Linked DNA regions of Pelodiscus sinensis. The protein of the gene in region 4 interacts with the protein of the main gene of each other region in a pairwise test. Links are inferred from orthologs where the notes say so. Each region holds a gene or a part of one and is shown on either strand. Other genes may lie near its edges. The genes, in order: UBXN6, ARID5A, ROR2 and DAZAP2.

Region 1 (7,589 bases), about 21 Mb from region 4:
CGCATGCAAGTGCCCCTGCGGGCACCATGGCGCCCACGGGCACCGTGTTGGGGACCACGGCATTACGGTAACAATGTTCCATAAATATGATACTAATAACAATAGTTAATACTTAAAGTGAAACAAAACAAAAAGCTAGTGAATCGAAACACAGGATCTACAAGCGTTACAACACTGTCAATAAGCCGCTACAAAACTTAATTATAGAAATTAATCACACCGCTCAAAATAATCATTTTGGCAAGGTTTGGATTTGAATATTCCTCTGCCATGTCTGCAACCCAAATATAATGGCATCGGACTAATACATGAGAACCAGAAAGTGAAACTAAGTAATTTATTTTCCAAGCACAAGCTGAATAGAGTGAAAAAAAAGCATTTGTAAACTATTTTAAATATTGATTGGGACAGATTCTGGCACTCAGGGCTTGTCTTCACATATGGTGCTACAGCAGCATGACGGCACCAGTGAGGCATGCAGAGCCCGTGCTGTCCACTGGATGGTTTGGGGAGGTTGCCCCAGGTCTCATGCTTTGGGGGCCTCCGGTTTAGGAGGACTCAGGCCCAGCAGCAGACAAACTCAGCACTTCTATCATTCAGGCCTTGTAGAGATGCTTTCCTGAATCAGGGTCTGTGGGCTGAATCTTGCACCTATTGAAATTGTTGAAAGGTTTCAGTTGACTTCAGTGGAAAGTAGCGTAAGGGTCTGAGCACACAAGCTGCGGAGCAGAAGCAGAGGCAGGAAGAGCTGGAATCGGGGCAAGCCTGGGGTGGGGGTTGCCCTAGGCTCCACACTCCCTTGGGATGGCCCTACTGCCATGCCACTGTAGCACTTGAATGAAGATGGCCCTAAGCCAACAGGAATGTTTCTCATGTCAGCTCCTGTGGCTTTTTCCACATTCTTGACAGACTTAGTTATAGTGATAATAGGGCTATATAGTGTAGATGTGGCCTTAGTGACAACACAACTTTCAAAGGGAAGTTACAATAATGTAACCAAGACTGAATTTGTCCTTTCCAGTTTTAATATACCCAGATAATGGCATTAAAATGCCTATAAGGGAATTTCCTTCTTTTACAGGTTCTGCACAGTTATACTGATATAAACTCAGAGTTACTCCACTGAAGCCAGTTAAGTTTATATTAATGGAACCAAGAGTAGAATCTAGTCCTATCTGTTTTGTACTTAACAGTTTCCTTTTAATTACGAAGTACAGTAGTAGAACATGTCTTTGTAAATCTGTCTTTCATTGTGTAATGCTGCAAAAGGAATAGAAAGCACTGACAGAAATTGGGCCTTGTCTACACACAAAGTTGCACTAGTTTATTTAAAGGTATATTTTTAAATCTATTTAGTTTAAACCAGTGTGAAATTTTTAAAACTAGTTTGTTCTGCTTTAGCTAAGGTTGATGCCAAGTTGATTTAAGATAAATTGATGCAGGTCAGGATTAAGCAGCTTCAAGAAGATCCACGCAGAAGTTTGCACTAATTTAACTAAATTGATTTTAAAACTAATTTTAGTTAAACTGGTGTGATTTTTACATGAAGCTCTTAGAAACAGCAAGCCAAATTAAATAGCCATATGAAAGCTGTTGAAAGTTGACATGAGGTGTCAACAAAAACAAGCATGTGTGTGTATGACTTAAGTCATATCTAAATTAGCATTTATGACCATAAAATGTTTGTCATTCCGATTTGTGAAAAAAACAGGACCTTAAGTGACATAAGTTTTGCCATAGGTACCAAATTCTCTTCTAGCTGAGGGGGGAATGATCTTCTACTCCAGTGGTCCCCAACGTGGTGCCCGCAGGTGCCATGGCGCCCGCTGGGCCATTTCTGTGTGCCCGCTGAGTGATCAGGGCCGGCCCTGCCCCCGGGCGTGTGGCACATGGGCGGTGCTGGCCCCTGGGCATGCAGCATATGGGCATCCCCGCCCCCGGGTGCACGGCGCAAGGGCTGTGCCGCCCCTAGGTGCGCAGCGTATGGGTGTCCCCGCCCCTGGGCGTCCCCGCCTCTGGGCATGCAGCACAGGAGCGGCGCTGGCCCCGGGTGCGTGGCATATGGGCAGCCCCAGCCCTGGGCATGCAACACAGGAGCAGCACTGGCCCCAGTGCCCGTCAGCCCCAAAAGGTTGGGGACCACTATCTACTCTACCCCTACCCTTCCTTTTCCCCAAGGCACTGCCTCCTCTCCTCTTGCAACCCTCCCCCTGCTCTACTCTCTCTCATTTGGTCCCCTCCTTCAAGTGCATCCCATCCCTGTTCCTTCCCCTTCCTCTCAGCGCCTCCTGCATGCTGGGAAACAGTGGGTGAGAGGTGTTTGGAGGGAGGGGGGCACTTGATCAGTGGGGCAGCCAGCAAGCAAGAGGCTTGGGGGAAGGGGAAGGCAGAGGAGAGATGAGAAGGGAGTTTGGCGGTGGGTGCTGAGCACCTGTTAATTTTTCTACAGCCCTGGTGGACCCATGGAGTCAGTGTGTATGAGTCTTGCTGGCACAAGTGCTAATGTGCTCAATGCTGTGTTGGTGGGAGGGGTTCTAAGCTGTGCCAAAGCTTGTAAGTGCATCTACAGCCTTCAGTGACAACTTGTCTAAACTAGCTGAATGTGGCAGTGAGGAGCATGGATTTACACAATGAAAACATCCACACCCTTGACTTAAAATATATTTACATAGCAATGCCCTCCCTGAGAAAGGATGAGTGAAAGAAAACCTCAGATGTTAATCATGTTGCTTAATGCATGACTGGAAGGCACTGAAATACTGAGGTGATGGGGGGGAAGAGTGAATCAAGAACCTGCATAAAGTAGACTAGAATAGCATCTAAAAGCAAGTTAGGAGCTTTGCAGAGCAAATTAAATGACAAAGGACCCTGTTCAGATGTTACCTGATGATCTAGGGTCCTGACCCTGCAATCATATGGTGAGTGAATGTGTGTTACAGATTCTCCTGTGCTGAGGATATAAGCTGCTTATAGCCTCTGGCTACAGTCTTGGCTCTTTACTTCAAGTTGTGGCAGCTTGTGCTTTTAGCTCTGGATGTTCCTGGTAGGCCAGCTAAGATGGTCATTGAGACACATGAGTAACTTTAGTGCCATTGTGCGAACAATGCTAATGAGGCTGCTCATGTGAGTAAAGGTTGCTGTAATAATGGGACAGCAGGGGGAACCAGGAGAAAAGGTGAAGAGAGCTGGGTGTGAAAGTAGGGGGTAGACAGTGGTGGGGGAGGGCTGTAGGTAGGCAAAGGGTTGTGGGGGTACATGGTGTGGGGAGCTGAGTGCCAAAAGGGGGCAGTGGGTGCCAGTGTGAAGGCAGGAGAAGCACAATGTATGAAGGCTTGGGTTTGGGGGGCTGGGGTCAGGGGGAATGCAGTGTGGTGCTGGGGGTAGGTTGGTCATGAGTATGCCCTCCCATTCCTTAAGGCCGTGGCTCTCAGCCTTACCCTTTGCAAATCTTAGCTGAGGCTGCAGACCCCCCTCGGTCTGCGGAACCCTGGCTGAAAATCGCTGCTGTAAGGGACCATTCCTGGTCACCGTTCCCTTCTTTTAAGATGCACTGAAATATATTAAATAAGAAGAAGTCTTTGAGTTTTAGGCAGGAAGGTTGAAGCCTGTGAGCATTGCACTGTATCCAGGAGGGGACCAGAAATGGACATGGCTGAAATAGACGGCAGGCTACACCAAGAGGGGGTTCCCCGAAATGCCCCTTCAAACGCAGCAGTGTCCCTCACCTGTCCTGTCCCTGTATCCCCCCCCCCCAAGCTGGTCACCCCAGCTGGGGGCAAAGGCTGGGCACGTGTGGCGCTAAGGTTGGGGGAAGGGTCGGGGGCCTGGTATAGGAAGAAGGGGGGGACACACATGTGGGGCTGGGGGGAGGGGTGGGAGGGAAGGAATGGGGGAGGGGATAGGAAGAGCAATGGGGGGGAGAGGCACGTGCGGCGCTGAGGCTGGGGGGAGGGGTGGGGGAGGGGCAGGGCCAGTGCTCGAGGTAAAGCGAGGTCAGACCCGCCGCTGGCGCTTGGCGGACCTCACGCACCATAGAGAGGCGGGGGGGAGGCCTAGAGCGCCCCTGCCGGGCTCGTCACACAAGGAGGCGCGTGAGGTGCCTGAAGGGCGCAGGCGCCAGGCTCTGGCCCCGCCCCCCGCCGCTTCCCGCCCGTTCCAAGAGGCCGATGGCCGCTCGGTAAGTCACGTGCCCGCAGCGGGAGGCGGGGCTTCCTGTTTCCGGTGGCTGAGAGGAAGGGGGCTCCGCAGGTGTTTTGTTGTGCGGGGCCGGCCCGTCTCTCCCCGCCCCCCTCCCCCCCCGCGCCGCCGCCATCATGCGGAAATTCTTCCAGGACATCAAAGCGGACATGAAATTCAAAACCGCGGGGCCGGGCCAAAAGCTGGCGGAGCAGCCCAGGTAGTGGGGGAGGGGCGGCTGGGGGGGGAGGAGTGAGGGGGGGAGCGTTGGGTGGGTGGTGGGGGGGAGGAGTGAGGGGGGGGAGCGTTGGGTGGGTGGTGGGGGGGGAGGAGTGAGGGGGGGGAGCGTTGGGTGGGTGGTGGGGGGGGAGGAGTGGGGGGGGAGCGTTGGGTGGGTGGTGGGGGGAGGTGCCTGCTCCACTGTGAGTTGGGCTGGGTGATGCTGTTGGTGGCAACGAGGGATCCAGCCCCAGGACTCCCATCTCCTCCGTGGTGCTTCTCCGCTTCTGGATCCCAAACCGCCTTTCTGCCATTAACCCCTGCCCAAGGCTGCGGTCGAGTAACAGAGTCTGTGGCGTGGGGCCTGGGCTGCACGGGGGGGACACGTGAGACGGGTTCGGGTCCCAGCTCCCTGCTGGCTGGTCTGTTCCTCCTGGGACCTGGGTTCAGATCCCAGCTGCCTGGGCTGGACCCTCTTCTCATCTCCCCTCCGCCCGAGTTCGGTTCTCTTAGCCCCCAAACCGCTTACGCTGTTGGCTCTTCTCATTCCTGAGGTTGTTTTTTTTTTTTTTTCAGACGACCCCTCCCCCCGCCCCGGCTGTTCCCTTCTCCCCGCTTCCCCATCTCTTATCCCCCCACTCCACTTCTTCAGACTCAAGTTCAGATCTCTGCTCCTTCCCCACTTGTGCTGTTCCTTTCTCTCCCAGCTTCTCTCCCCCACACCCAGGTTCGGCACCCACATTTACTTCCACCCAGGTTGTATCCTGGTGACTCTAAACTATCCGACCCTTTGTGGTATCCTGTTTAACCAGTTAACCAATTCAGTGGATTTTTCTGTAATCTGCATCCCCAGTCTTCATCCCCTTTTCCCAATTGACTGTGCATGGCTAGCCAAGTACAAAAGCAGTTTCTCCTCTCTTGGTCTTCACACCTCCACATCAGCTGCTAGAAGTGGGCCTCATCCTTTCTGACTGAATTTACCTCTTTCTCTCTAGCCTTACTCTTGATTGGTACTCTTTTCTTATGCCTGTATATTTATACCTGCCTCTGGAATTTCTACTACATGCATCTGACGAAAGCCCATGAAAGCTTTTGCTCCAATAAATCTGTTAGTCTGTAAGGTGCCATAGGACTCCTCATTGCTTTCCCAGGAGCTTCCTTGGTTCCCTCTTGCTCTACTCCTCCAAAATGTGTCAAGCTCTGGGATCCTCTGCGCTAGGCGCTGCAGACCAGGCCTACTGTAGGTTTGGAGGACTGAGGACTTTTGCAGTAGGGTACAGCATACACCACCAGAGGAACAACTTTATTTTCCTTGTATCACTTTTAGCTTTAGACTCAAAAACACACTTCCACTAAATAGAAAAAAAAATACTGTAGCTCTGAAGAAGTGTTTACCTGATTCAGGTATCTGAGTCAGAGCTCCTGACTCTTTTGGCACAAACAGGCTTTTACTCCTGTTTGCTGTACCAGCTCCTGCCAAGCCAAGAGCTGATTGTTCCCTGAAGCTGCACTGGGTCCACATCTGACCACAGAATTGCTATTCTTGTGGCTGATTTTCAGATACCAAAGTAAGTTTGGGGAAATGATGCTAATCGAAAAATCATTTGACTTGTAAAGGAACAGGATTGGAGGCAGTTAAGACAAATACAGAACCTCACCATGTTGTGGGATAGTCACCTTCCTGAATATCATTGTCCTGCAGCTGTTTATGAAATATGGCAGCTGAGTGAACGTAGAATAACCATACTGGGAATTAAAATCACAAGGGTGTGTGGTGTTGACTGTTTTAAGGCCTAATATGTTGAGAACAATCAAAGATGAAAAGGATTGCTTTGTATTATATAAATTCTTGGAATCCCAAACTCCACTGGTTCAGGTGACAGTGGCTGGTAAAATTTCCTTGAAGACAAACCCCTTGCCTGTAGAAAGCAAAGGTGCAATCAGAATGAAGCAGTTTATAGGCTTACTGTCACAAGGTCTGTCTGGGCTACAAAACAATATTGATGAACTAGGTCATGTTTTCAGGTTCAGTAAATGTTTCAAAATAAGTTTAAGACATTAGGCCAATACATGGATTAGTAATGGTGAAAGTGCATCTAGACTGGAATTTAACTGTTCGGTGACCTGACCTAGTCAGTGTTGCACTATGTATTCTCACTTTCTATATTATTTGTTTAGTTTCTATGTGAATTTCATATGCTTGATCTCAGCCCTGCTGCACTATTCAAATACACACTCAAAGAAGGCCAGAGTCCCCAGTTCCATCCTAAATCCTGAAGGAAACTGCTAAAACATTAGTTTAATAACAGAACTTTTCAATAACAATATTTCTTAAAAGTTGCAAGAGATTTGTAGTTGAGATCATCTATTGAATCCAATTTTCTGTGGCTTTCAGGGACAATGAAAGTTGTGATTGGTCCTGTCTTGGGCAGGGGGCTGGACTTGAAGACCTCCTGAGGTCTCTTCCAGCTCTATGATCCTATGAATCCAGTTGTATTTATTGCTCCAAACTTTGGGCGCACAGGCTTGACAAACTGCTTCACGGTCACTGAGCAGTAATGCTACCTAGCAAGGGCATCAGGTTTTTTTGTGACCTTATAAAGCTATGATGTCACTGAGCATCTACAGTTGCTTCCCGATCAAGCCTGTTCTTGGTGCTGTTCTGTGTAGTGCTCTTTGAAATTATACTCTGGTGAGGGTGGATGTTTTGCAGAGCAGCTGGAAACATTAAATTCTGTTTTCTGCTAGCAGCACACATTCTCCATTCCTAAATGTATCCATGTTTTGTAGTGGGTGCAGTCTTCAGGACTTTCCTGCTTGCATGTTGCGTATAAGCCTTTGATACACAACGGCCTTCTTGTTCTTATGGAGGAAGAGTATCTTGGAAAAATGGGTCCATCTCTCAGGGTATGCCTACACAGCAGGGCTAAAGTTGAATTAAGCTACACTACTTCAGCTACGTCAGTTGGAGCTACATCATAGAGGTTGAGAATGGTGTCCCTAGCTGCTGGTTGTCTGGAAATGGGTGACAGGAGAGGGATCGTGTGAGGATTACCTGTTGTGTTCCCTTCCTCTGGGACAACTGGTATTGGCCACTGTCGGCAGACAGGATACTGGGCTAGATGGACCCTTGGTCTGACCCAGTATGGCCATTCTTATGTTCTTAAGTCAAAATAGCTTAATTCAGCTTTTGG
Region 2 (7,577 bases), on a different chromosome or scaffold from region 4:
GCAAACTCCATGTAAGCTCAAGGGTTCATTCATTTTTATTACACTCATAGAATAGTTAACACTCAGGCACAAAACCAACATCTTTGCCATCTATATCTCAGACAATCTCAATTCAAGGCCTACACTATTCAGAGCAAGTTCATCCATTTCTAACAGTTAACTTACATTATCCCACTCTTACCCCACATCCTTTTCTCAGACAGTGATCTCTGCTAATTCAGTTTTACATCTCACTGCTTTATGAAGCCAAACTGAACTCTCCACAATTATATTTTTTGAGTCACTATGACTCTGGACTATATACATAGCCACAAGAACTATTTATAACACGAGGTGATATTTTACTGAAAGTGCCTTCTGTGCCAATCAGAGCTAGAGATTCAGTAATTTTCTAGCTTGCAACCCCACATGGCTAAATGGTTAACTCTATGTGGCCACATATCCAGTCCTGGGCTTTTCTAGGGTCTGGACTTCACTCATCCTCTTTCTCTGTCTAAATGTAGTGCCCAATCCCACAAAGTACTGGCTGCCTTAAAACCCAGTAATAACAATAGCAATTAAGGTCACACAGCAGGACTGAATTAATAATAAATGGTGGATCCATATAATAAATTGCAGAACCATTATGCTCAGGTGCACTGCCTCACATGAATAATGTGGCCAATCTCAGTCCAACAAAACCTACATCCCACATTACTTATGATATACTATTTAGGTCATCTAGGGACCAGATGTAGAGTAGCATTGAGCTGACACCTCTCCTATAAGCATCATTGGGAGCTTCAAGTGTGTAGCACCACCGAAAATCACACCCCATCTCTTTGGCTCTGTTGCTGTTTCTTGTTCTGTATCTATCTTATCATTTATCTGGGGGATTATTGTAGGAAAGTTTCTTGGAAGGGGTTATTTGAACCAAGAGAAGGAAGTCATAAAAAGCACAAATTACTCACTGTTCCTTATACCACAGCCCTTCCTGTACTGCCCCCTCTCTCTGATCAGTTACAACAATATGTAGTAGAATATTTTTCCAGCCTCCTCCTCCTCTCCTGTGTGCTATTGCACTAAGAGGAGTACAACTCCAGTTTCCTGTTTTTTTCACAGTAATAATCAAAAGAAAGGAAATAACACAACCCTTAAGCTTTTTTCAATAACAGTAACATGACACTAAACAAAATGTGTGAGACATTACAATCATAGCTGGAATGTCCCCAGTCCCCCACCCCGCTTTACCCCTTATCAAAACCTCTTCCAGTTTATTCCTGATTGTGACCCTTCCCTTCACCAGCCTCCACACTTCAAACCTGTGGCTGGCATAAGCAAAGCAGCAATCCCTCTTAGTAGAGACTCAGTTTATACTGGCAAAAAAAAACATCTTGGTGGCATAGTGTATACCAGTTACCTAAGCAAAACATGCTTCAATGCTATAAAACACTTTTTGCCAGTGTAACTGACTATACTAGAGCTTTTGATGGCACAGCAATGTCATGAAAACCCAAATAGTTCTACTGGCAAAACTTTGAAATGGACTAGCCTCTCACCTAGCTACATCATTATGGCTTAGATTTTTTGTATTCTTCAATGCTTTTTTTTTTTTTTTTTTTTTTTTTTTACTGCAGCTACTAGCATTTGAAGGCAATAAGGCCTCTCTGGTGAATTAGTATATTCTTTCAAAATAGAAATTATGGAAGTAATTCAAGATTACTGCAAAACTCCAAAACATTATAGGGTATTTTTGCAATGCTATATCACAGGCTCCAGCAATAAGACCCTCTAGCCCAGGGGTCGGCAACTTTTTCAAACCAAAGAGACAAACTACCTCAAAATTCAGAACTAGTGGTCAACAAAGAGCTGTATAAGAATGCCCATTTTCATGACTGAAAATATACAACTTAATATTATTGATAATTGACATGATGATTAATAACAAATGAAATATTGTACTCCGACTTTTATTTAATGGGACTTCTGCTGCTGCATCTTTTCGCACGTTTCTTTGAAGTTTACATCATCACTGGTGAAATTCAGGGTCATGCATAATTCAAGTTACATGAATAATTATGTGTTCTTAAAATTTTGAATTAATTTTTTATTTTAATTTTAAAAGTTGCATGTATTTTGGGAATGAGAGAAGAGCCATATTTGGTTACATACCGAGCCATATTTGGCTTGAGAGGCATAGGTTGCAGACCCCTGTCCTAGCCCCTCCACTGGCTGTGCCATTTGGCTTAATGGATCTTTTCAACAATTCAGTTTGTCTCCATCCACTGAACCCTTACTTTAAATCTTCCAGTTTTTCAGGGCTAAGTGCTCCTCACTAGTTGCCATTTGAGTGTATAATTCAAAAGCTGGCATTAAATCCCATTCCCCACTGCTGTATATCACTATTTTTATTTTAAATAAAGTCATCTCCACAAGGTATCAGAAGCCAGAGAGAAAAGATCAAATTTATTTACAGAATGTAACACTACCAATGGGCTAGACACACATGGACACAGAAAATGGAGACAGGCTTGAATAGCAACTACCAATGAATATTTGAACCAATATTTCAGAATGGACAGAAATATCAAGCTAAAATAATGCTACATTTTAAACATAGCCATGTCTCAAGGGGATAAACTGAAGGAACTCATTGAAGTCGGTGCACCGGCACTTGTATTGACTTCACTTGTATTGGGCTTTAAAGGAACAGTTCTAAAAAGCCTCTGGTTTTGTAACTGTCTTTAAAACTAGAAATACTGTCCACAGTCTCAACTACTAGCCATGCTCTGGTAGGGACAACTGAGTTTTTGTACTCAGCTCTTCCCTTCAGGCACTGAGTGAGGCTGGGATTTCATTTCTCCAACTAAAGCCACATATTAGCTGGCTTCCGCTTTCTACTACAGATACATCAGGCATATATCCCTGGCTAGTAGGTATGCCGTCAAGGTAACAGTGTCCAGCATGTCCCCACGAAATCGCACAGGTCAGTTTCTCTTTCTCTGAAGTGCGGAACACAGAAGTGCATCTTAGGAGCAGTGTGCTCGGGCTCCCCCCTTGCCTGCGCCTGGTTCACACGCACGTGCCCGGGTTAGCCAGCGCTCCCTTCCCGGACGCGGCTCACGCGTGTGTGCGGGGTGCCTGGCTCACACAGGGGTGCGGGCTCGTCTCTTCCCGGCATCTGGGTCATAGTTGTGTGCGGGTCAGCCCCCCCCCGCACCCGGCTCCCCCCCGGGTCAGCCCGCCGGCCCCCCCCCGCACCCGGCTCCCCCCCGGGTCAGCCCGCCGGCCCCCCCCCGCACCCGGCTCCCCCCCAGGGTCAGCCCGCCGGCCCCCCCCGCACCCGGCTCCCCCCCGGGTCAGCCCGCCGGCCCCCCCCCGCACCCGGCTCCCCCCCGGGTCAGCCCGCCGGCCTCCCCTCCCCGCACCCGGCTCCCCCCCGGGTCAGCCCGCCGGCCTCCCCTCCCCGCACCCGGCTCCCCCCCGGGTCAGCCCGCCGCCCCCCCCCCCGCACCCGGCTCCCCCCCGGGTCAGCCCGCCGCCCCCCCCCCCGCACCCGGCTCCCCCCCGGGTCAGCCCGCCGCCCCCCCCCCCCGCACCCGGCTCCCCCCCGGGTCAGCCCGCCGCCCCCCCCCCCGCACCCGGCTCCCCCCCGGGTCAGCCCGCCGGCCCCCCCCCGCACCCGGCTCCCCCCCGGGTCAGCCCGCCGGCCCCCCCCCGCACCCGGCTCCCCCCCGGGTCAGCCCGCCGCCCCCCCCCCCCGCTCCCGGTTCCCCCCCGGGTCAGCCCGCCGCCCCCCCCCCGCTCCCGGTTCCCCCCCGGGTCAGCCCGCCGCCCCCCCCCGCTCCCGGCTCCCCCCCGGGTCAGCCCGCCGGCTCCCCCCCCCGCACCCGGCTCCCCCAGGGTCAGCCCGCCGGCTCCCCCCCCCGCACCCGGCTCCCCCCCGGGTCAGCCCGCCGGCCCCCCCCCCGCACCCGGCTCCCCCCCGGGTCAGCCCGCCGGCTCCCCCCCCGCACCCGGCTCCCCCCCGGGTCAGCCCGCCGGCCCCCCCCCCGCACCCGGCTCCCCCCCGGGTCAGCCCGCCGGCCCCCCCCCCGCACCCGGCTCCCCCCCGGGTCAGCCCGCCGGCCCCCCCCCGCACCCGGCTCCCCCCCGGGTCAGCCCGCCGGCTCCCCCCCCCGCACCCGGCTCCCCCCCGGGTCAGCCCGCCGGCCCCCCCCCGCACCCGGCTCCCCCCCGGGTCAGCCCGCCGGCTCCCCCCCCCGCACCCGGCTCCCCCCCGGGTCAGCCCGTTCGCCTCCGGGAGTGGCCTGGGCCCGGCCGGCGCGGGAGGGGGGGAGCGGGGCAGCCCCGCAGCTGGCCCGGCCGGGGTCCTGCTCCCTCAGGCGTGGGGGGAGGGGCGAGCCGCGCGCAGCGGGCGGGCGATCGGCGGGAAGGGAGGGGGGGCGGCTCTCTCGCGAACTACAAATCCCAAGGGCCCGCGCGGCGCGGGGCGGGCGCGCTGAACTGACGGCGCCCTTGTCCAATCAGCCGCTGAGCGCCGCCCAATGGGCGCGCGGGGCGGGGCGGGGACAGAGTTGCTGCTTCTCAGCCCGGACACTCCGGAGTCTCGCATGGGCCGGGCGGCGGCGCGGGGGCCGGGCGGGCGCTGAGGCCGCGGCGCTGCGGGCGATGGGTAAGAACCAGCCTTGCCTGGGCTGGGTCGGCAGCGCGTCCCCAGCCGGGAAGCGCGGGGAGGAGGGGAGTTGGGGGGGAGTTGGACTGAGGGGGGGGAGTTGGGGACTGGGGCTGGCGGGGGGGGGAGTTGGACTGAGGGGGGGGAGTTGGGGACTGGGGCTGGCGGGGGGGGAGTTGGGGGGCCGGGGCTGGCGGGGGGGGAGTTGGACTGAGGGGGGGGGAGTTGGGGACTGGGGCTGGCGGGGGGGGGGAGTTGGACTGAGGGGGGGGAGTTGGGGACTGGGGCTGGCGGGGGGGGGAGTTGGACTGAGGGGGGGGAGTTGGGGACTGGGGCTGGCGGGGGGGGGAGTTGGACTGAGGGGGGGGAGTTGGGGACTGGGGCTGGCGGGGGGGGGGAGTTGGACTGAGGGGGGGGAGTTGGGGACTGGGGCGGGCGGGGGGGGAGTTGGACTGAGGGGGGGGAGTTGGGGGGACGGGGGCTGGCGGGGGGGGGAGTTGGACTGAGGGGGGGGGAGTTGGGGGGACGGGGGCTGGCGGGGGGGGAGTTGGACTGAGGGGGGGGGAGTTGGGGGGACGGGGGCTGGCGGGGGGGGAGTTGGACTGAGGGGGGGGAGTTGGGGGGACGGGGGCTGGCGGGGGGGGGAGTTGGACTGAGGGGGGGGGGAGTTGGGGATGGGGGCTGGCGGGGGGGAGTTGGACTGAGGTGGGGGGGAGTTGGGGACGGGGTCTGGCAGTGGGGGGATGGGGCTGGGAGCAGGGGAGAGGGTTGGGGTGAGGTGGGAGGCCAGGACTGGCAGCAGGGGAGTGGGTTGGGGGTAGGGGGAGGAGTTGGAGTGGGAAATGGGGCTGGCAGCAGGAGGCGGGTGCCGTGCCCCATTTGAGGACAGGGAAGTCAGCTTTGGATTCTGGTTACGGTCAAACCTCCGGCGCACTCCCGAGCCCCTGTCCTGCAGCTGGGTTTGGGCTCAGAGAGAGCAGGGGTGCACTTGCTCCCTAGCAGCCCCTTGGAGATGGGAGCCGCAGCTGCCCAGCCCGGTTCGCAGGCTGGTCCCAGAGCCCGGCCGTTAGGCTGCAGATTCTTCAGAAGCAATGAGGAGGGAGGGGGAGTTTTTTCCTTGTCTCAAAAGTTTCTAGCTGCAAGGGGCTTCCCAGTAATTTTTATCTCAAAATGCACTTTTCTTTCTAGTTGGTAAATTTCAGTGCTGTGTTGGGTTCTGGCTTCCCACTTCCTGTTGTGGTTTGTAATCTTTAGCTGTTCTCAGCTAATTTGTTGTGACAGCTGTCAGCAACAGCTTTTTTTTTTCTTTGGTTCCCAGAAGAATCTGGCTGTTTTTCCCCTTCCCCGTCATGGCCTCCAAAGGGTTAAGCTGAGGTATTGTACAGTGTGTACGCAGAATTCTGGTTCCATTGTACGCTGTCATTTCCCGAAAGTGGCTTACTCTTGTGCTTTGAAGATGCTAACGGCCCCTCCTTCCAAGTCAAGAAATGGTTTGACCTTTTCAAGAACACTTTTCAGCTACTACAGCCATGTAGAAGAATGAAACTATTCCCATTTGCCCCATGCTCACGCAAGCACATACATACACACACGTACCAGGGTAGTGTGAACAAGATAAATGTTTAGTAGTGGGGGCAGGGGGAGGGGAGAAGTGACTCTGGAAATTGCAGTTTACTGCTGAGAAGTACAAACATCTACTCTCAGTAGATTTTTCCAAAATACCAGAGGACCTGGCTGTTCCAGATTAGGTTGGAGCTGTTTTTCCTTGGATATTTAGTAAATTGCATTTGTCCACAGTGCATTCTCCTGTTTTCTATGCATTGGAATATGTATGAGATTGAGCATCCCCCTCTCCTCTTAAGTAAGGTTTAGATGAGCTCATGGGTCATTGTCCTCTCTCATTTCTGATTTGTTAGCAAGGTTGGGTGGCCTTTGTTTTAAGATTTTCTTTTTGTGGCAGGGTAATCTCTAGGGTGAAGCCTGGAGAGCAGACTTTTATTTCTTGCTCTGGCCTTGGGTGACTCCTTGCCTCATTCTGTGCCTCAGTTTCCCCACATGTAAAATGGTGTTTTTGGTACTGCTCCATTTTATATGATATGTCGACATCAATCCACTAATGATAGCAGAATAAAGAACTGAGTTGAAGCAGCATGCCCTGCTCTCCTCTCTGGACTGGTGAGAAGAGGGTGATTGGAGCCCCAAATTGTGCAGAAGGGCAGCCCCAAAACAGGCACTTTGCCATACCAGTAAAACTGCAAAGCAAGGCCCAGCATGCAGCTGCCTTGGAAAAAAACAGGTGCTTTGCAGTGCTGCAACCCAGATAAGATGCATCCCAACTGGCATGAAACAAAGAACAGTGTAATTACTGTATCTTCTGGAAAGGGGGAAGGGAGGCAACAACTGCTGAGGTCTGCCTTGGAAGAATGAAGCGGGAGCTGCAAAACTCTGCAGAGCAGAGAGGCAGATTCCTACATGTGGTGTGAGCCAAGCTGTGTTCTCACTCCACCACATGCAACCCCCACAAACCTTGGTCCATCCAGTATAACTGTTAGGAAAACTCTAATTAATGGCATTTTGCTTGCTTTGTAATTAACAAACGCCTGCACTTGTCTCCTTTGTTTGTTGGGAGTTGTGCTCTTGTGTCAGTGAGTGTTCAGGTGTCTGTCCCTTTGTCTCCCTGCCTGTTCTCTGTGCCATGCTGATGAGCTGAGGCAGTTTGGAGGGGACAGACTCTTAGCCTTCCTTCCTCCCCCACAGTGGCTCCTGCCATAAGCCGGGTAAAAGACTCAAGCTGTTCTCTGCTGTTTCCCAAAGTTGTCATCATGTCCAGTAATCCTCTCAGAAGCCGGGCTTGTCTTGGCTGCCTTGCGTGGTGATCTCATGCCCAGAGAACATTAAACCGGCCAGTTTTCTCTCCCCTTTG
Region 3 (7,888 bases), on a different chromosome or scaffold from region 4:
ATACATGGTTAGTGGGGGAAGGGGCAGGTTGTGTTTAGGCATGAGGGGCCAAATTCATCTCTAGTGAAACTTCCTTGGTTTAGTTGAATTATGAGGCAGGTACTTGCCAGCTGTTTAATGAAAACTGCAAATGAAGTGTTGGGGGTTGATTCAGCAGCCCTGGGGACAGAGAAGCAATTCTTTCCTGTGCAAGTAGTCTCATTGCCCTCAGTGGGACTAATTACATGAGCATAAAGATCAGGCCCCTAACCAGGCATTGATTTATCATTGAAACTTTATGAACTGAAGCACTAGCCACATCAGAGCTCATAAGCCTCCTTAAAACATAGTTAATATGGGATGAGGACTGTGTTCCCTCTAGTTTTTCCATATATGTGGAATAAATGTTATGTGCACTGAGGTATGTACAGACGTGCACCACCACTAGAAACCCATACAGGCTGCAGGAGGCTGTGGATGTGAAGCTAATCAGCTGGTTGGCATTTGAATCTCTCCTGGGTGGCCACCCAAGCGCTCAGCTTCTAGGGAACACTGTATGTGGTTGTCACATGGTAAATTTTTTTATCAGATTCTCAAATTAGTACCAACTAGCCCCAACTACTGCTTTAAACTTCTTCTATCAGGCACATTTTCAAACCATTTGGTCACGCAAATAAATCCATGTGCAGATCTTTCTTCATCAAATAGCAAGAGAACAGTTTGGGACCATATGCTAAAAACACAAGTGAACTCTCTAATGCTTTAAATTAGTAGGGTGAGCAAACCCAGAAGAAATGTGCAATTGTCTACCATTTTGTGCTTGCTGCACATATTTCTTGCTACACAGAGAAGGAATTTATATTGTGGTTTCTAATGTTTTGGCTCTGCCAATTGATTCTCCCTGAATATGAAGCATGCTTATAAGCGGAATATTATGATACCATGTCTTTGGAATCAAAGAAACCTAGTTGTAGATGCCTATGAAAGAGATCCAAGTGCGTGTTGCATTAACTGGCCAAATTTTACTATGTGAAATGGGAATATTTCATTTTAAGTTTCCATCAGAAATTGATCAATCACTAAATTCAGACTTATTTGGATCCAGGATCTTGTTTCAGGTCCATATTGTAATTACTTTTAGGATGCTGAGGTCCTCAGATGAAAGGCACCGAATTAAATGCAAAGTATTGTTTACTTATGTTATTATTTTATTATTAGGGGAACATGTTCAAAAACCAGTTATACATTCAAAACATTGTGATTTGCTCCTTCACAGTGTATATAAAAAAGAAAGCTCATAAGCATACAATTTAGGGGATTTAAGTGTTATTATAGGCCTTCGGTTGACTGGTTTAACTTATACTGATTTTAAAAATGATTTAGTTAAACCAGTGCAACCTCCTATGTGAACATTCTTAGTTTAAAAGTGGCTTAGTTTAAACTGAATCTTAGTAAATTTAAATTAAACCAAAATAATCCTAGTTTAAACTGAAATAAGAGTGTCTACATAGTATTTTGTACTGGTTTAATAAAACACATTTTTTAGGTAAACTGGTACAATTTTCTTTAGCGGTAGATCAAGAATCTTATGTATTTTCCCCATTGACTGTTTCTTGATAAATTCAGTAACTGTATTATCTATAATTGTTGTCTACAGTACAGAAACTGTAACTAATTCTATAAATTGTAATCTTGGGTGAAGGGAGGAGATTGGCACGTTTGTGGAAAAATCAACTTCTCCTGCAGTAAAACCCAGGGGAAGAGGTTCTATGTAAATAACTCTCAGCTAGGATGCAGTTAGGAAATTTTCCTACATTGTTTTGTCTAACAGTCTTTGAATCAGATTGTGATCTAATTTACACCAGAGTGACTTGATTGGCTTCAGAATCTGTCTCCATGTTACAAGCAAGATGAGCTTTAGTGCAAGACCTGCAGGGGAACAGGAAAAGAAGAAGGTTGCTGCACAATTCTGAATTTTAGAATCTTTTAAGTAACTGAAAGGATAGTTACTTCAACTATATTTTAATTATTTATTTTTGCATGGAAAAGAAAATATTTTTACAATGGAACTTAGTGGACAGTTTTGTTAAGAACACAGGAAACCTTATTCTCCCATGACTGTATTATTTCTACATTACAAAGTAAACAGGAGCAAAAAGTAGTAAAATCTTATTCTCGTTCTGTTGGAAACCCACACCCAGCAAAGGGTGCTTGCTAGTGCATACAAACAAGCAAAGTACAATTCACTAATTAGAAAGTATCTATGTGTAGTTACTTTTCCTGTCCAAGGTGTATAGCCTGACAACATAATATACATTTTAATAATACATGTATTAATTATTAAATAGTTAAATATTATTTAATCAAAATTGTTGTAATAATAATTACATTAAAATAAGATTTTTTTTATAAGAAATATACATTTTCAGAGTAGGCTAGAGAATCTGGATACATATCTTCTTTTTGATTAATGGAAATTACATAAATTACTTTGAAAATCTCAAGAATGATTTTTTTTTATCTTGACAGGGTCCCTTAAATTGTCTCGGCCATATGGGCTGCATAGGTTACCTTTGATGGTAAAAGTTTCCTGAGAATTGCTGGAGGTGGCAACTGAATGAATGTAGTCTTGCCATTACTGGGCCCAATTCAGGAAAGCATCCCTATTCAGAAAAGTGCCTAGCTGCTTTCCTGAAACAAAGCCTCTTTACTTAATGATGATATAGTGTTAGCATTAACCAAACAGTGATCAGAGAGGAAACTATGACTAGTCCAGCCTCATTCCTTTTTCATGATGAGGTGCCACAGAAATTTTGGACCTAGAAATCTTAGAGGCAAAAAACAGGTCAGAAAGATACAAAGAACTGTGTTGATGTGCTTGTCTTTTTTATGGTAAGCAGAAAATTTGGGGCACAATAATATTTTTTGAGAGAAATGTACAGTAATTCCTCATTTAACACTATAGATATGTTTCAGAAAATGATCATGTTAAGTGAAAATGTGTTATGTGGGGTCAATTTTCCCATTGAAAATAATGGAAAAGGTAGGGGTTGCATTTCAAGCGGTGGTGTCTGTTGGGCCCGGGACATAAGGTTGGGGGAGAAAGGGGACTGGGTTACAGCAGGGAGGAAAGATGTTTGGCTCTGGGAAAGGGAAGAGGAGGAGAGGGGAGGGGGATTGGGTTGGGAGTATGTTCTGTTACGGGTCTGCTGGGACCCGCACTGCGTCCGGCGAGGGGGGGGGGGTTGCTGGGGAATGGCATGGCGAGCGGCGAACTCGCTGCTGCTTTGCAGGGAGGCGGGGGAAGCCCCGTGCAGCCGCCGGCAACGGGCTGGCTGGGGAAATTGTGTTATTCCGGGGACGATCGTGTAATTCAAAAAACGTTCTCTAAAAAAGAATCGTGCTATCACAAAAACAGATTAAGCAGCTATGTGTTAAATGAGGAATTACTGTACACTCAGGTTAGAGTTGCCTGTGCTCAGCACTATTAAGCATTAGGCCTTTACGCACAATGCCCATAACAAAGAACAATAATACTGTATTTGTAAGACCTTATATATTTATAGCCTCATAACTGAGACTTCATCACATTTACTTGATTTATTTAAGTAATATCTAGAAATGCTATTTCAGTTGCAAATAATATACCAGGCCTCTACAGTTTATATCACTGAATGAACAAGTTACTCCTTTGCTTTGTACATTACCATTAGGGAATGACTAATATTCAAAGGTCTCCTTGTGCATATGAAATAAAGAAATTTGAGAAAGCAAGAAAACAGTTTAACTAGTGCTCCTGGTATTTATCAGTGACTAATTCTTTACTGTTAACGTGTCTTGCAGCTCTAAGGGAACAAACAGAAATAGTTCCCTGTCCTTAAGGGGTAAAATGAGAAGGTTTACTTTTAACATTACAAATAAAGAGTATCCACTGTGCTTTCAAGGCAGGATCACATTCTCGGTGCGCTCTCGTCTTATCGTGTGTGTTATACAGCTAACGAGGCTGGACATTTCGTTGGAAAGAGTTATGGCTTGTGATCACTTGACACTGCACGGAAGTGAAAAGGCTGCTCTCTCTGCTGCGGGGGAAAAGAGGGGCAATGCCCATCAAGCGGTGTAGTGTTTCTTCCTTCTCGGGGGTTTTTTCTTTCCAAATACTTCTTCGGTATCTCGAAGAATGCTGGAGCTGTTCTCTGCGGGACTCGCTTGTGGCACGGCCTGAACGTGCCTGGTGCCCCGAAACGACCGTCCACTCCAGTCATCCTTGCATCGCAGCCTCTTTTCTCGAGTACCCCTTGAGTCAGCTCCTCCCGCAGAGGCTCTTGTCACCTGAAAGGGGAGTCCCTGCAAATGCAGACTCCTGGCTAGATCGCTGCAGAGCCAGCTAGGCCTGCACCTGATCCAGCCGGCCCAGGCAGCACTAAGCAGGAAAAAGCCCCAGCCGAGAGCCTCGTCTTCCCTCCAAGCTGGCACACGGCGCCCGAAGCCCGGCTCTCCTCCACCCTCCTGGCATTTGCTGGCTTGCCAGCAGAGGGGGTAGCAGCGCAGGGCTTTTCCTCGCCCTCTGCGCCTCGCCGCGCGCGAGCCCCGGGCTTTGCACGCCCCCTGCCCTGCGCGAGGGAGTGAGAGGAGAGATTTCCCCCAGTGACGCTGCGATGCCGGGGGAGGAGGCGGCGGCGCCGAGGCGGGCCCCTGGCTCAGTGCGGGACGGCCCGTTACAGTGAGCGCTGGCTGGGGGGAGCTGCGGAGCGCTGCAGAGAGGAGGTGAAAGCCCGGCCCGGCCCGGACGCAGCCCGCGCTGTCAGCGGGCGCCGCGTGGAAAAGCCCTGGGCGCGGGGCAGCGGCCGCACCACAAAGGGCTCTTTGTGCGCCGCCCGCCTCCCTCCCTCCTTCCCTCCCGAGCGAAGCCGACGCGGAGGGAGCCCCGCGGGCAGCATGGTCCGCACCGGGGCGGCCCGGGGGGCGCGAGCGCAGCGGCGGGACGCGGCGAGCTCCCTGCTCGCCCTGCTGGCGGCTTCCTCGCTCCTGCCCCTCTGTGCAGCAGGTAAGGGGGCTCTGGCGCCACCTTCGTGCTCCCCACTCCCGGGCGCGGGTTGGGCACGAGCGTTATTCGCTGGCTGGCGGGATGCTACTGGGCGGACGTGGGGTGCAGGGTAGCTGTGCAAAGCGCCCCCCGCCGGGGCTGGCGGAGCCCGCTCGGTTGTTTTGTGCGTATTGAAAGATCGGGGGTGGTTGTCGTGGGGGGCGCACTGGAAGCCCGTGGAGGCAGGGGCACTGCCGGGTTTTTTTGGAGGGAGGGGGAAGTTGATGAGAAATCAGCTTTTTGAAGCTTCTCTTCCCGCGATCCATCACCGCCCGTCTCTTCCTCACCCACCAGCTGCTCCTGCAGCTGAGCCGCATCATGTATATGGCCGCAGTGGGTGCCCCGCAGGAAGTTTGTTTGGTTTTGGATGACGGGGGTGGAGGGAGGCGGCAAAGGACGGGGAAGAGTTGTTGCAGTCAGAAGCCCTGATAGGGAGCCCAGGGTAGACCCCCCCCCCCCCCCGCCCCGAGTGGCTATAATAATGTGTTATTACTTGGGCTGTTGAGTTGCCAGCGTCTCGGTGGGGGTGGGGATTAAGGTTGAGTGCGGGGCGGGGGGCGGAGGGCAGCGATGCTTGGCGTTGATGGAGGCTTAATTGAGTCTCCTTCTGTGTGTGTGTTTTTGGAGGGTCCCATTTCCTGTGCGTACCTGGCTGAGCCGCAGAGAGCCGAGGGGGCAGCCCGGGGGAATCGGGAAACGACCGGACTCGGTTCACCGAGCCCTGCGATTGTTTGGAGAGCTGAATAAACTGGCCCTATTAACATCTGACCTCGCGCCGTGGTGGACTGGCTGCGGCTGCTGAAACGCGGCCAGTGTGCCCGGCATCTCCCTTGGCCCACGCCGCCGGGGTTTATAGAGCGCTCTGGGGTCAGAGTTACAGTGCCTGGAAAAGACGCTGCAGCCTTGCGCTGTTTGTTCCCTGCCCGCTCCCGCTCAGCTCAGCTTCGGGGCCCTCCCCTTGAAACAACCGGGAGAGGTTTGGCTTTTCCCTTCCCCTGGGAGGCTGTGGCGTGGGCAGGGGAGCAGGAGCCTCGGGGGTCAGCCCGACACACTTTGATCTCGCTCAAACCCACTCGCTGGAAAATGGACCCCTGCAGCTGATTTTTTTGTTGTTTTGCCTAGCGATCCTGGGGAGATGACGCTCGTCAATTGCACGTCAGGTTTGTAACCGGCCTGGCCCGAGTCAGTTTTGCGACGGGACTTGGTTGGCCGATGACTAGTGAATCTTCTACTCTTTTTAGGAGGCTTTCCCTGCATTGCAGCGGCGTGCACGAGGGACCCGATGGTGTTTTTAAGGAACAACAGTGATGCTGCAGATTAGAGGGGACTTGTTAATCAGTTGCCTGTTTGAAAGGGGTTTTTCTTCCCTTTGTTGGTTTCGCTAATCCATTTACCTCTCCCCGGGAGGTGACAGATGCCTATATTTCCTGTTAGTCAGCTCTGGGGTCTTCGGTCGTGCCATTTGCTGAATTAGCCATGGGGGGGGGGGAGGAGGGCAAGAAAGCTGGAGGGTTTGGGGGGAGGCGGTAAGGTAAGAGGAGAGCGTGTTACATCTCTGGGATCAGTGCCCATTGCCTTTCTTTTCTTGGGGCTTTTATTGCTCCCTTTGAAGGCCCAGGGGGCAGCGCTAACAAATTGCAGCGCCCTGCACTGCTGCCCTGGCTTTCCTGCAGGGAGCTGCAGCCACGGACTCGGTGTATGGGGCAGTAGTTTCACAAGCCCCTAGAGTGCGGAGTGTTAGAAGGTGGCAGATGTTCCCTAGGTGCCCGCCTTTAAAAGCTTCTGCTGTGGAGATGGCGAGCCCTAGGTGTATGGTGTCGTTCCAGCGAGATACCATCCCCCCAGCTCCACCATTTTCTTCTTGTTTCTCAAAGCAGCTGGATCTGTTTTTAGGGGCCAATATGACGGGTGTGCAGGATTTCCAGAGTTTTCTCTACAAGACAGTACACCTACCACCCTCCCTTCCCTTTCGACAAAGTGTCACTAGGCAAAGTCCTAAGGTGCCTCACTTGCTTAATATGATTTTGGTGAGATGATTTCTGCCCTCTTGTAAAACGCTTGAGGTCTTTGACAGTGAAATAGCAAATAAATCACAAAATACTCCAAACATTTGGTTGCCTGTTCACCAAGTCTGCATATTCATTGATTATCTTGCATTCCCGTTTCACTCCTTCCCTTCAAGTGCTGGCAGAAGAACCCACCTCCTCCCCTGCAGATGTCTTTGATGGGTGATCCCTTAAGGATTATTCCCAGGATGTAGTCACATAACGTTTGCTAGTGACACAGCTATGCATAATTGACTGCAAAAACAAAGACAGACAAACAGTCTCAGATGTAAGTTCTCTGCATCTCCTGTGACTAGCAGTTGTCTCTACTGGGAGTTAGTACTGGAATGTCTTTTTTGTGGGGACAAAAAACAATGAGACAAAATATACTAAGGAATCCCTGTAAAATGATATAAACTATGCATACACAGTCTTAATTTTGTTCTGAGATTGTAATGCAATACTAGTTTTCAGAGAGGTAGCTGTGTTAGTTTGTTTCAGCAAAAACAACAAGGAGTTGGGTGGCACTTTAAAGACTAACACATTTATTAGGGTATTGGAGCATAAGATTTCGTGAGCTACAACTCTCTTCCTCAGATGCTGAAGAGAAAAAGAAAGAAAGAACTAGTTTTATTACTGTAGTTTCCCTTAGAGGCAATACAAAGTGGTTGTGGTTGAATGGTCCTAAATATAGAATTAAATCAAAAAACTGCAATTAAAAATGTTGGGAGAGTTTTCCTCCTCAGTTTACTTTTCCTTTAGCTAGGTTGGTGGAAACATA
Region 4 (8,523 bases):
CTTCCTCCCTTCCCCACGGGCTCTGTGCAGCTACTGCAGACAGCCCTATCCTTACCAGGAGGCAGCAAGAGGCACAAGAATGGGCCAGAGAACACTGGAGGAGCAGGGGGCAACTGTCCAGACAGTAGTTAGAGAGAAGAGGCGGTTTTCCCTTCAAATGCCACTGCTCTCCAGCCACTATCTACGTAACCGCCCCCTAGTCCTCCAGCCACCCCTTCACCTGTGCCTCTCACCTGCTCCCCTGAGGCTGCAGGTGAGCTTTTGTTTGTAGTTATGGATGTTCAGAAGTCAGATGTTTGAAACACGGGGAGTGCCAGTATTACGAATTCATATGTAACCAAGTTTACTTTTTGGGTGTGGAGCACAAATAAAGACAGGACATACGGCATACCTCAGAGTAAGCAGGAGGTGCATCGGTATATGGTGGTGCCTGAGGAAGAGGCATGGTCTGTGGGTACACAGAAGGATTACCAGGAGGTTGCACTGGGTAGGATGGCTGCGTCGGATATTGACCTAAGAGGCAGAAGAGAATTTGGCCAGCGTTAACGGAGCTGCCATTATGGAAATGGGACAGAAGATGAGCTGATGGAAAGCCCCCTCCTTTATAGATCCTTGATAGATTCATTGAAATTGCCTCTTGTTATGTACAAATATTGGCTGAGTGCACAAGAAGGAAGGTACAAAATAAAGTCCACTCGGTACGCGTAGTCTGATTGGAACTAAAAGCAAAAACTAATTTCTGTACTGTTAAAATCCTTTAAAAGAACTAGGCCACTATGAAAAACAAACACCTTCATGTGCAGAGCTGCTGACAAACCACCCTATTTAGAATTAGGCATTTCTCTGCTCAGACTTGCAAGTCACAAAGTTTTGACTCTGTGCCACAGAACTACGCCAACTACTGGGACATCAACAATACTAGACCCTTTATCATTTGAAGTTCTTGATAGGCTGTCACACGTGCTATTTTCAAAGAGCATATGTTAATGAACTTAATGTTTTACAACTTAACATGGTTAATCTGTGTACCGAGAGAGAGAGAGAACAAAAGGGATATCATAGATTGCAGCAAGAAATAAATATAGTCCCCCAAATAAGAGCAGATCTTTTCCCTAACCCAAGCTCTCCCCCACACACACACACACACTATTCTTTCTTACCCATTTATTAATTTATGCAAAAGATTACATTGCATTAAAATGGCATGCATCTTAACGCATCAAGAATAAGTAACTGTAGGGTGATAGAAATGTAGCCGTTAGTCTGGTGTAGCTGAAACAGAAAACAGGACTATGTAGCACTTTAAAGACTAACAAGATGGTTTATTAGGTGATGAGCTTTTGTGGGCCAGATACAATTTTAATTGTATCCTTTGGTATATATGGTTGTGACAATTTTCTTCCACTATTTGATCTGAGGAAGTGGGTCTGGCCCGTGAAAGCTCATCACCTAATAAACCATCTTGTTAGTCTTTAAAGTGATACATAGTCCTGTTTTTTGTTTTAACTGTATGGTAGCATTGCTCTTCAAGTCAAGGCCAATAAGAAGCCCTGCTTAACATCTTGGTAAAATTCTGAAGTGATCTATTAATCCTTACTGCAGCTGGCTCTACAGTCAGTTTCTCTCATCAGGCCACTATCGTGTTTAAAATAAATAATTTCTATGTGTTTTTTCAGCTGCTCTGAACATAGCCAGCAATAGCAAGGAGGCGTTGCTTTAATGTGTCACCATCCAGGAGGTGATGCTTTCATGTGTCACTGTCAGGTCAAAGCTGTGTTCTTGTAAAGCTCTACCAAACCAAAGGCCAATATCAATGTTTCTATGATCAGTACAGATTCAAAACACAGCCTTGAACAAAAAAAAGGAGTGGAGGGGAACACAGTGATCTTGCAGGGTAAACTTGAATTCTAGTCATGCTTTTATAAGAGGCTCATTGCCATGAACATGAGAGCACCCAAAACTAGAGGGAGCCACTGCCCCGAGGAAAATTAAGAGAAAAGAAGCAGCTTTGCTGATCGCAAGTGACCAAGATTCCTGAAGTGATTAAAAGATCTTAATACCTCTCGAAAGGCCGGCAGCTCATACTACCCAAGGCAAATAATAAACACAATCAACGGGAGTTGTACAAATGTGTATTAACCCCTCAAGCACAGCTCCTCAATGTCACAGACCCCACCACTACCCTGATGGCCTCCTCCACGACTATCACTCCCCTCTCCAAGGTGCTGCTGGGGCATAGCGCAATCCTGCAGACAGAGCAGCTCTCTTACGGGAAACAGGCGAGGGAGAGACCCCGTGACACAGTTTAGGGATTCTCAGCAAATCCAGGTTCACGCACTGAACGGCTGCATTAACTGTTACGTACAAGCCTCCCAAGAATGCCTGGGGCTCCCTGTTTCTTCAAGGCAACAAGGAGTCACCACCCTCACCCTCTTGCCCCACCATTCCCTTGTGCCCTTCTAGCTGCCTTATCGTGACCCATGACAACAGTCTCCTGCAGCTACACGCGCTGCTACAAGCATCCCCCCTTCCCCCCAAAAACCCACCCCCACCTGCAGAACTACTGCCCCCAAGGAGCTGACTCCTCCCCTATGCAGTGACCCCTTCCCCTGCCTCCCCCATAGGGATGACCCCTCCACGCACCCCTTCCCCTCCTCCCTGTGAAGTTGACCCCTTATTCCATGGGGCTGACCCCTCTCCCACGGCACAGACCCCTTCCTCACACCCCACCCCTGTCTCCCCCAAGAGGCTAACCCCTCACCATAGGGCTGAGCCCTCCCCCCCCACAAGGCTGCCCCCCCTCCCCCAAGAGGCTGACCCCTTGCTATGGGGCTGACCCCTCGCCCTTCCCCCCCCCAAGGCTGACCCCTTGCTATGGGGCTGACCCCTCGCCCTTCCCCCCCCAAGGCTGACCCCCTGCTATGGGGCTGACCCCTCGCCCTTCCCCCCCCAAGGCTGACCCCTTGCTATGGGGCTGACCCCTCGCCCCTCCCCCCCCAAGGCTGACCCCTTGCTATGGGGCTGACCCCTCGCCCTTCCCCCCCCCCAAGGCTGACCCCTTGCTATGGGGCTGACCCCTCGCCCCTCCCCCCCCAAGGCTGACCCCTTGCTATGGGGCTGACCCCTCCCCCCCCACAAGGCTGACCCCTTGCTATGGGGCTGACCCCTCCCCCCCAAGGCTGACCCCTCCCTATGGGGCTGACCCCTCCCCCCCCACAAGGCTGACCCCTCGCTACGGGGCTGACCCCTCCCCCACAAGGCTGACCCCTCGCTACGGGGCTGACCCCTTCCCCCCCCCCCCCACAAGGCTGACCCCTCGCTACGGGGCTGACCCCTCCCCCCCCTCTTGCCTTTTCCGTTCATGGCTCGCTCGGGCGGTGGCTCCGCTCGCTCCGCGCACTTCCTTGTTATTGTCACTGCGGCGCTGCGACGGGTGGGGGGAGGGGCGGCCGACGTCGGCGTGTGCGCGGCGTCCTGACGTCACGGCGCGAGGGGAGAGGTCATGGGGGCGTGGCCTACGCGGGCGAGCGGGGTTGCGTAATGCTCGCCCCGCCCCCCCCGTTCCAAACGGCGAGTCCCGCCCCCACCTGGGGAGCGGGCTGCTTGTCCCGGGCCTGGAGGGGGAGGGGGAGCGGGGGGGCTGCTTGTCCCGGGCCGGGGGGGGAGGGGGAGCGGGGGGGCTGCTTGTCCCGGGCCTGGAGGGGAGGGGGAGCGGGGGGGGCTGCTTGTCCCGGGCCGGGGGGGGAGGGGGAGCGGGGGGGGGCTGCTTGTCCCGGGCCTGGAGGGGAGGGGGAGCGGGGGGGGCTGCTTGTCCCGGGCCTGGGGGGGAGGGGGAGCGGGGGGGCTGCTTGTCCCGGGCCTGGAGGGGAGGGGGAGCGGGGGGGGCTGCTTGTCCCGGGCCTGGAGGGGAGGGGGAGCGGGGGGGGCTGCTTGTCCCGGGCCTGGGGGGGAGGGGGAGCGGGGGGGCTGCTTGTCCCGGGCCTGGAGGGGAGGGGGAGCGGGGGGGGCTGCTTGTCCCGGGCCTGGAGGGGAGGGGGAGCGGGGGCTGCTTGTCCCGGGCCTGGAGGGGAGGGGGAGCGGGGGGGGCTGCTTGTCCCGGGCCGGGGGGGGAGGGGGAGCGGGGGGGCTGCTTGTCCCGGGCCTGGAGGGGAGGGAGAGCGGGGGGGCTGCTTGTCCCGGGCCTGGGGGGGAGGGGGAGCGGGGGGGCTGCTTGTCCCGGGCCTGGAGGGGAGGGAGAGCGGGGGGGGCTGCTTGTCCCGGGCCTGGGGGGGAGGGGGAGCGGGGGGGCTGCTTGTCCCGGGCCTGGGGGGGAGGGGGAGCGGGGGGGCTGCTTGTCCCGGGCCTGGGGGGGAGGGGGAGCGGGGGGGGCTGCTTGTCCCGGGCCTGGAGGGGAGGGAGAGCGGGGGGGGCTGCTTGTCCCGGGCCTGGGGGGGAGGGGGAGCGGGGGGGCTGCTTGTCCCGGGCCTGGAGGGGAGGGAGAGCGGGGGGGGCTGCTTGTCCCGGGCCTGGAGGGGAGGGAGAGCGGGGGGCTGCTTGTCCCGGGCCTGGGGGGGAGGGGGAGCGGGGGGGCTGCTTGTCCCGGGCCTGGAGGGGAGGGAGAGCGGGGGGGGCTGCTTGTCCCGGGCCTGGGGGGGAGGGGGAGCGGGGGGGCTGCTTGTCCCGGGCCTGGGGGGCAGGGGGAGCGGGGGGGGCTGCTTGTCCCGGGCCTGGGGGGGAGGGGGAGCGGGGGGGGCTGCTTGTCCCGGGCCTGGGGGGGAGGGGGAGCGGGGGGGCTGCTTGTCCCGGGCCTGGGGGAGGGGGGAGCGGGGGGGGCTGCTTGTCCCGGGCCTGGGGGGGGGAGGGGGAGCGGGGGGGGGCTGCTTGTCCCGGGCCTGGAGGGGAGGGGGAGCGGGGGGGGCTGCTTGTCCCGGGCCTGGAGGGGAGGGGGAGCGGGGGGGGGCTGCTTGTCCCGGGCCTGGAGGGGAGGGGGAGCGGGGGGGGGCTGCTTGTCCCGGGCCTGGAGGGGAGGGGGAGCGGGGGGGGCTGCTTGTCCCGGGCCTGGAGGGGAGGGGGAGCGGGGGGGGGCTGCTTGTCCCGGGCCTGGAGGGGAGGGGGAGCGGGGGGGGGCTGCTTGTCCCGGGCCTGGAGGGGAGGGGGAGCGGGGGGGGCTGCTTGTCCCGGGCCTGGAGGGGAGGGGCAGCGGGGGGCTGCTTTGGCTGCGCTGCGTTTCCCTGACAGGTATTGGTTTGGGGGGGGAGCCACCTCTCCTTCCAGCCAAGGAGACCAGACGCTCTTCCTTCTCCCTCTGTGAGCACCAACATGCGGGTAGATGTTTGATAACAGAGGGCTCTTTAATCAAGCAGACAAAAGCATAACGAGCGCCCCTGGCTAGAAACTGAAACTGGGCCTCTTCAGGCCACCAGTAAAGCACACACATGAAACAGGGTAATTTACCATTGGAGTAACTTCCCAAAGGAAGTCACAGCGGGGTAGCTGTGTTAGTCTGTAACTTTAAAAGCAACAGCTGTCCTGTGGCATCTTAGAGACTAAGAAAAATATACAGTATCATAAGCTTTTTGTGGGTGAAACCCACTTCCTCAGATGAGCTGGAGTGGCAATAACAGAATCGAAGATATATATAACAGCAAAAGAAGCACCGGTCAATTGTAGGACCTGGGTTAATTAAGCTAATTAAGTGGGCTGCCTGTGTCCCATTTATATCTTTTGATGTGACAATGGGGATGTTAAAGGCAGGGGAGATGGGCTTTCTAGTGCATTAATCATGTTTTTATTCAAGCCCAGGCTAACAATGTCATATTTGTAGATGAATTCCAGTTCTACAGTGTCTCTCTGTAATTGGCTGGTGCAATTTCTTTGTAGAATAATGGCTATTTTTAAATCCATGATTGAGTGACCAGATAGGTTAAAATGTTCCCCTACAGGTTATTGTGTGTTACCATTGCTGATGTCTGATTTGTGTGGAGGCAGATTCTCCATCTCTTGAAGTCTTTCAAGACAGGATGACTTTAAAAATAGACTGTAGCTCAGCCACTAGATACAGGCTTGTTGCAAGACTCACTGACTAATGCTCTCTCAAGTAGCAAAGAGCTGTAAACAGTCAGTTGAGCTAACTTGGGGGGGGGGATCCATGTAATCTTCCTTTTTTGTTTTTTCTCCCTTCTGAATCGGACATAGAAAAGGCAAGCGTTTCTAAGTTCATACATAAAAGATCAATGGAAATAGCTGATAACCTCCAAATATTTTTACATTTAATTAAGCCTTAAGGCGAGTTAAATTTCACCAAGCAGTGGATTGTGTTCATTAGCACCAGCTAATGCTTTATTAGTTATTTTGGCCCGAGCTTTAGGATATGTTAGTTATTTTAAAACATATCCTCTTTGGTGTTAAAACAGGAAGTTGGTGTCTGTACTATTCCCCAGACTCCTGTTTCATACCCTCATGGGACTCGCTCAGGAATGGTGACCCCACCTCGTGCATGCCCCTTCTTTACAAGGTGATTGCGGAACCAAGGGCTGGAACCAGCTTGCGTCCATGTGATCTCACACGGGCAAATTCAAGATAATTAATTATTGGAACAACTCGCGTAGAGACAGGGTAGTTTCTACATCCTTTGCCGTTTTTGTCAAGATTGGATGTCTTGCTCAGTGATCTGCTATTGCTAAAACAGAATGAATGAGCCTGATGCAGAAATTCTTGGGTAAGGTTCTTTGCCCTGAGGAGTTCAGACTGGATTATCAAAATGCTTCTTTCTGGCTTTACAGTCGATGGAATCCAGAGTGGTTTTGAGAGTAAGTATCCCATGTAAGCCATGGGTTAGGCAAGTGGCTAGTCAAAATGTCCATTTGATGGAATTTGTTCATTTATTCTTTTAAAAACAACAAGGAATTATGGTACCTTAAAGATTAACCGATTTATTTGGGCATAAGCTTCCATAGGTCAAAACCAATTTGTCTGCTGCAGGGAGTAGTAATCACAGAGGTAGGAATATATAATTCTAGCATATAAAAAGGGGAGTTACTTTACGGCTGTGTCTAGACTGGCAAGTTTTTCCGGAAAATCATCTGCTTTTCCGGAAAAACTTGCCAACTGTCTACACTGGCCGCTTGAATTTCCAGAAAAGCACTGACGATCTCATGTAAAATCATCAGTGCTTTTCCGGAAAAACTATGCTGCTCCCGTTTGGGCAAATGTCTTTTTCCAAAAGACTTTTGCGCAAAAGGGCCAGAGTAGACAGCATAGTACTGTTTTCCGCAAAAAAGCCCCGATCGCGAAAAAGGCGATCTGGGCTTTTTTGCGGAAAACCGCGTCTAGATTGGCCACGGACGCTTTTCTGCAAAAAGTGCTTTTGTGGAAAAGCACCCTGCCAATCTAGACGTGCTTTTCCAAAAATGCTTTTAACGGAAAAGTTTTCCGTTAAAAGCATTTTCAGAAATTCATGCCAGTGTAGACGTAGCCTCCAAGTGGAGGACCACTGTTATCAAGGCCAGTTCAGTCCCACTATGTTTTCCAGGTACAGACTAACGTGGCTATTCCTCTGACATTTATTCTTTGTAACTTGTCCATATGGCATCTCGCACAGTGGGGAGCTGTAATATAAATAATAAACAATCAAATGATTCAGAAGAGAACAGTTCCTTTCAAATGGTCCCAGATAACTACAGCTGTTTCATAAGGCAGTCGCTTGCAACCAGGGGTGCATGTACCACTGGGGGTATGTAGAGGTCTTCCAGGGGATTCATCAGCTCATCTAGATATTTGCCTATTTGCATAAAAAGCCCCAGAAAAGTCTGTACAAACTAAAATTTCATAAATGACTTGTTTATACTGCTGTATCTACTACAGACTGAAATACGAGTACAATATTTATATTATGTTCCAATTGATGTATAAATAGAAGGTAAAAATTAGAAGCTATTTTTCAGTAACAGTGTGGCTCTTGTACTTGGATTTTTATGACTGATATTGGAAGCAAGTAGTTTTTAAGTGAGGGGAAGCTTGCGGGTTTGCAAGACTTCTGAAAGGGATAGAGTGGTCTGGAAAGACAGACAGCCACTGAGAGACCTCCAGTTTGGTTTTGTTATACAGGTGGTCCCTGAGTTACGAATGCGTCGACTTACAACCGTTCGTACTTATGACCAACCTCCCATTGAGTACATTACAGCTGGAACCCGAGGTACGAATGCGCGATCTGCGCTTACGAACAGCACGGTCACATTTAAATTAATGGAGTCCGACTTACGAACAGATTGAGTTGTGACCAAGTGTTTGGTACGTAACTCGTTCGTAAGTCGGGGACTATCTGTAGTCATACTGAAGAACTGCAACCTGCCAGGATAGGTGGACTCTCAATATCAAATATTCAGTCAGTTCTTATCTCTTCTCCCAGACTGTTTTGTCTATAGCAACGATGGGCAACTGAGGCTAGTGACTGGGCTGCGTGAGCGGCCCTCCTTCATGTCAGTGGGCCGCAAGATTGTCAGAACCAAGACGGTCTCCTGTGATGGGGCAGTTTTGCTCACAGTG

The links.
Region 1: the proteins of DAZAP2 (region 4) and UBXN6 interact in binary tests that used the Homo sapiens proteins (3 or more experiments, as listed by UniProt). The link is inferred for Pelodiscus sinensis from reciprocal best matches to the Homo sapiens genes DAZAP2 and UBXN6.
Region 2: the proteins of DAZAP2 (region 4) and ARID5A interact in binary tests that used the Homo sapiens proteins (3 or more experiments, as listed by UniProt). The two-hybrid records come from large-scale screens. The link is inferred for Pelodiscus sinensis from reciprocal best matches to the Homo sapiens genes DAZAP2 and ARID5A.
Region 3: the proteins of DAZAP2 (region 4) and ROR2 interact in binary tests that used the Homo sapiens proteins (3 or more experiments, as listed by UniProt). The two-hybrid records come from large-scale screens. The link is inferred for Pelodiscus sinensis from reciprocal best matches to the Homo sapiens genes DAZAP2 and ROR2.

What each region holds. Positions count from the first base shown.
Region 1 is NC_134729.1:22,546,024-22,553,612, reverse strand, and holds the start of UBXN6 (UBX domain-containing protein 6), read left to right. Parts: upstream 1-4,238; 5' UTR 4,239-4,313; coding exon 4,314-4,396; intron 4,397-7,589. UniProt on the Homo sapiens protein: May negatively regulate the ATPase activity of VCP, an ATP-driven segregase that associates with different cofactors to control a wide variety of cellular processes.
Region 2 is NC_134738.1:5,954,232-5,961,808, reverse strand, and holds the start of ARID5A (AT-rich interactive domain-containing protein 5A), read left to right. Parts: upstream 1-4,496; 5' UTR 4,497-4,650; coding exon 4,651-4,654; intron 4,655-5,506; exon of another isoform or gene 5,507-7,577. UniProt on the Homo sapiens protein: DNA-binding protein that may regulate transcription and act as a repressor by binding to AT-rich stretches in the promoter region of target genes.
Region 3 is NC_134716.1:49,024,681-49,032,568, reverse strand, and holds the start of ROR2 (tyrosine-protein kinase transmembrane receptor ROR2), read left to right. Parts: upstream 1-4,574; 5' UTR 4,575-4,914; coding exon 4,915-5,023; intron 5,024-5,689; exon of another isoform or gene 5,690-6,197; coding exon of another isoform or gene 6,198-6,222; intron 6,223-7,232; exon of another isoform or gene 7,233-7,362; intron 7,363-7,888. UniProt on the Homo sapiens protein: Tyrosine-protein kinase receptor which may be involved in the early formation of the chondrocytes. It seems to be required for cartilage and growth plate development. Phosphorylates YWHAB, leading to induction of osteogenesis and bone formation.
Region 4 is NC_134729.1:2,041,330-2,049,852, forward strand, and holds the start of DAZAP2 (DAZ-associated protein 2), read right to left. Parts: upstream 3,477-8,523; 5' UTR 3,364-3,476; coding exon 3,351-3,363; intron 514-3,350; coding exon 392-513; intron 1-391. UniProt on the Homo sapiens protein: In unstressed cells, promotes SIAH1-mediated polyubiquitination and degradation of the serine/threonine-protein kinase HIPK2, probably by acting as a loading factor that potentiates complex formation between HIPK2 and ubiquitin ligase SIAH1.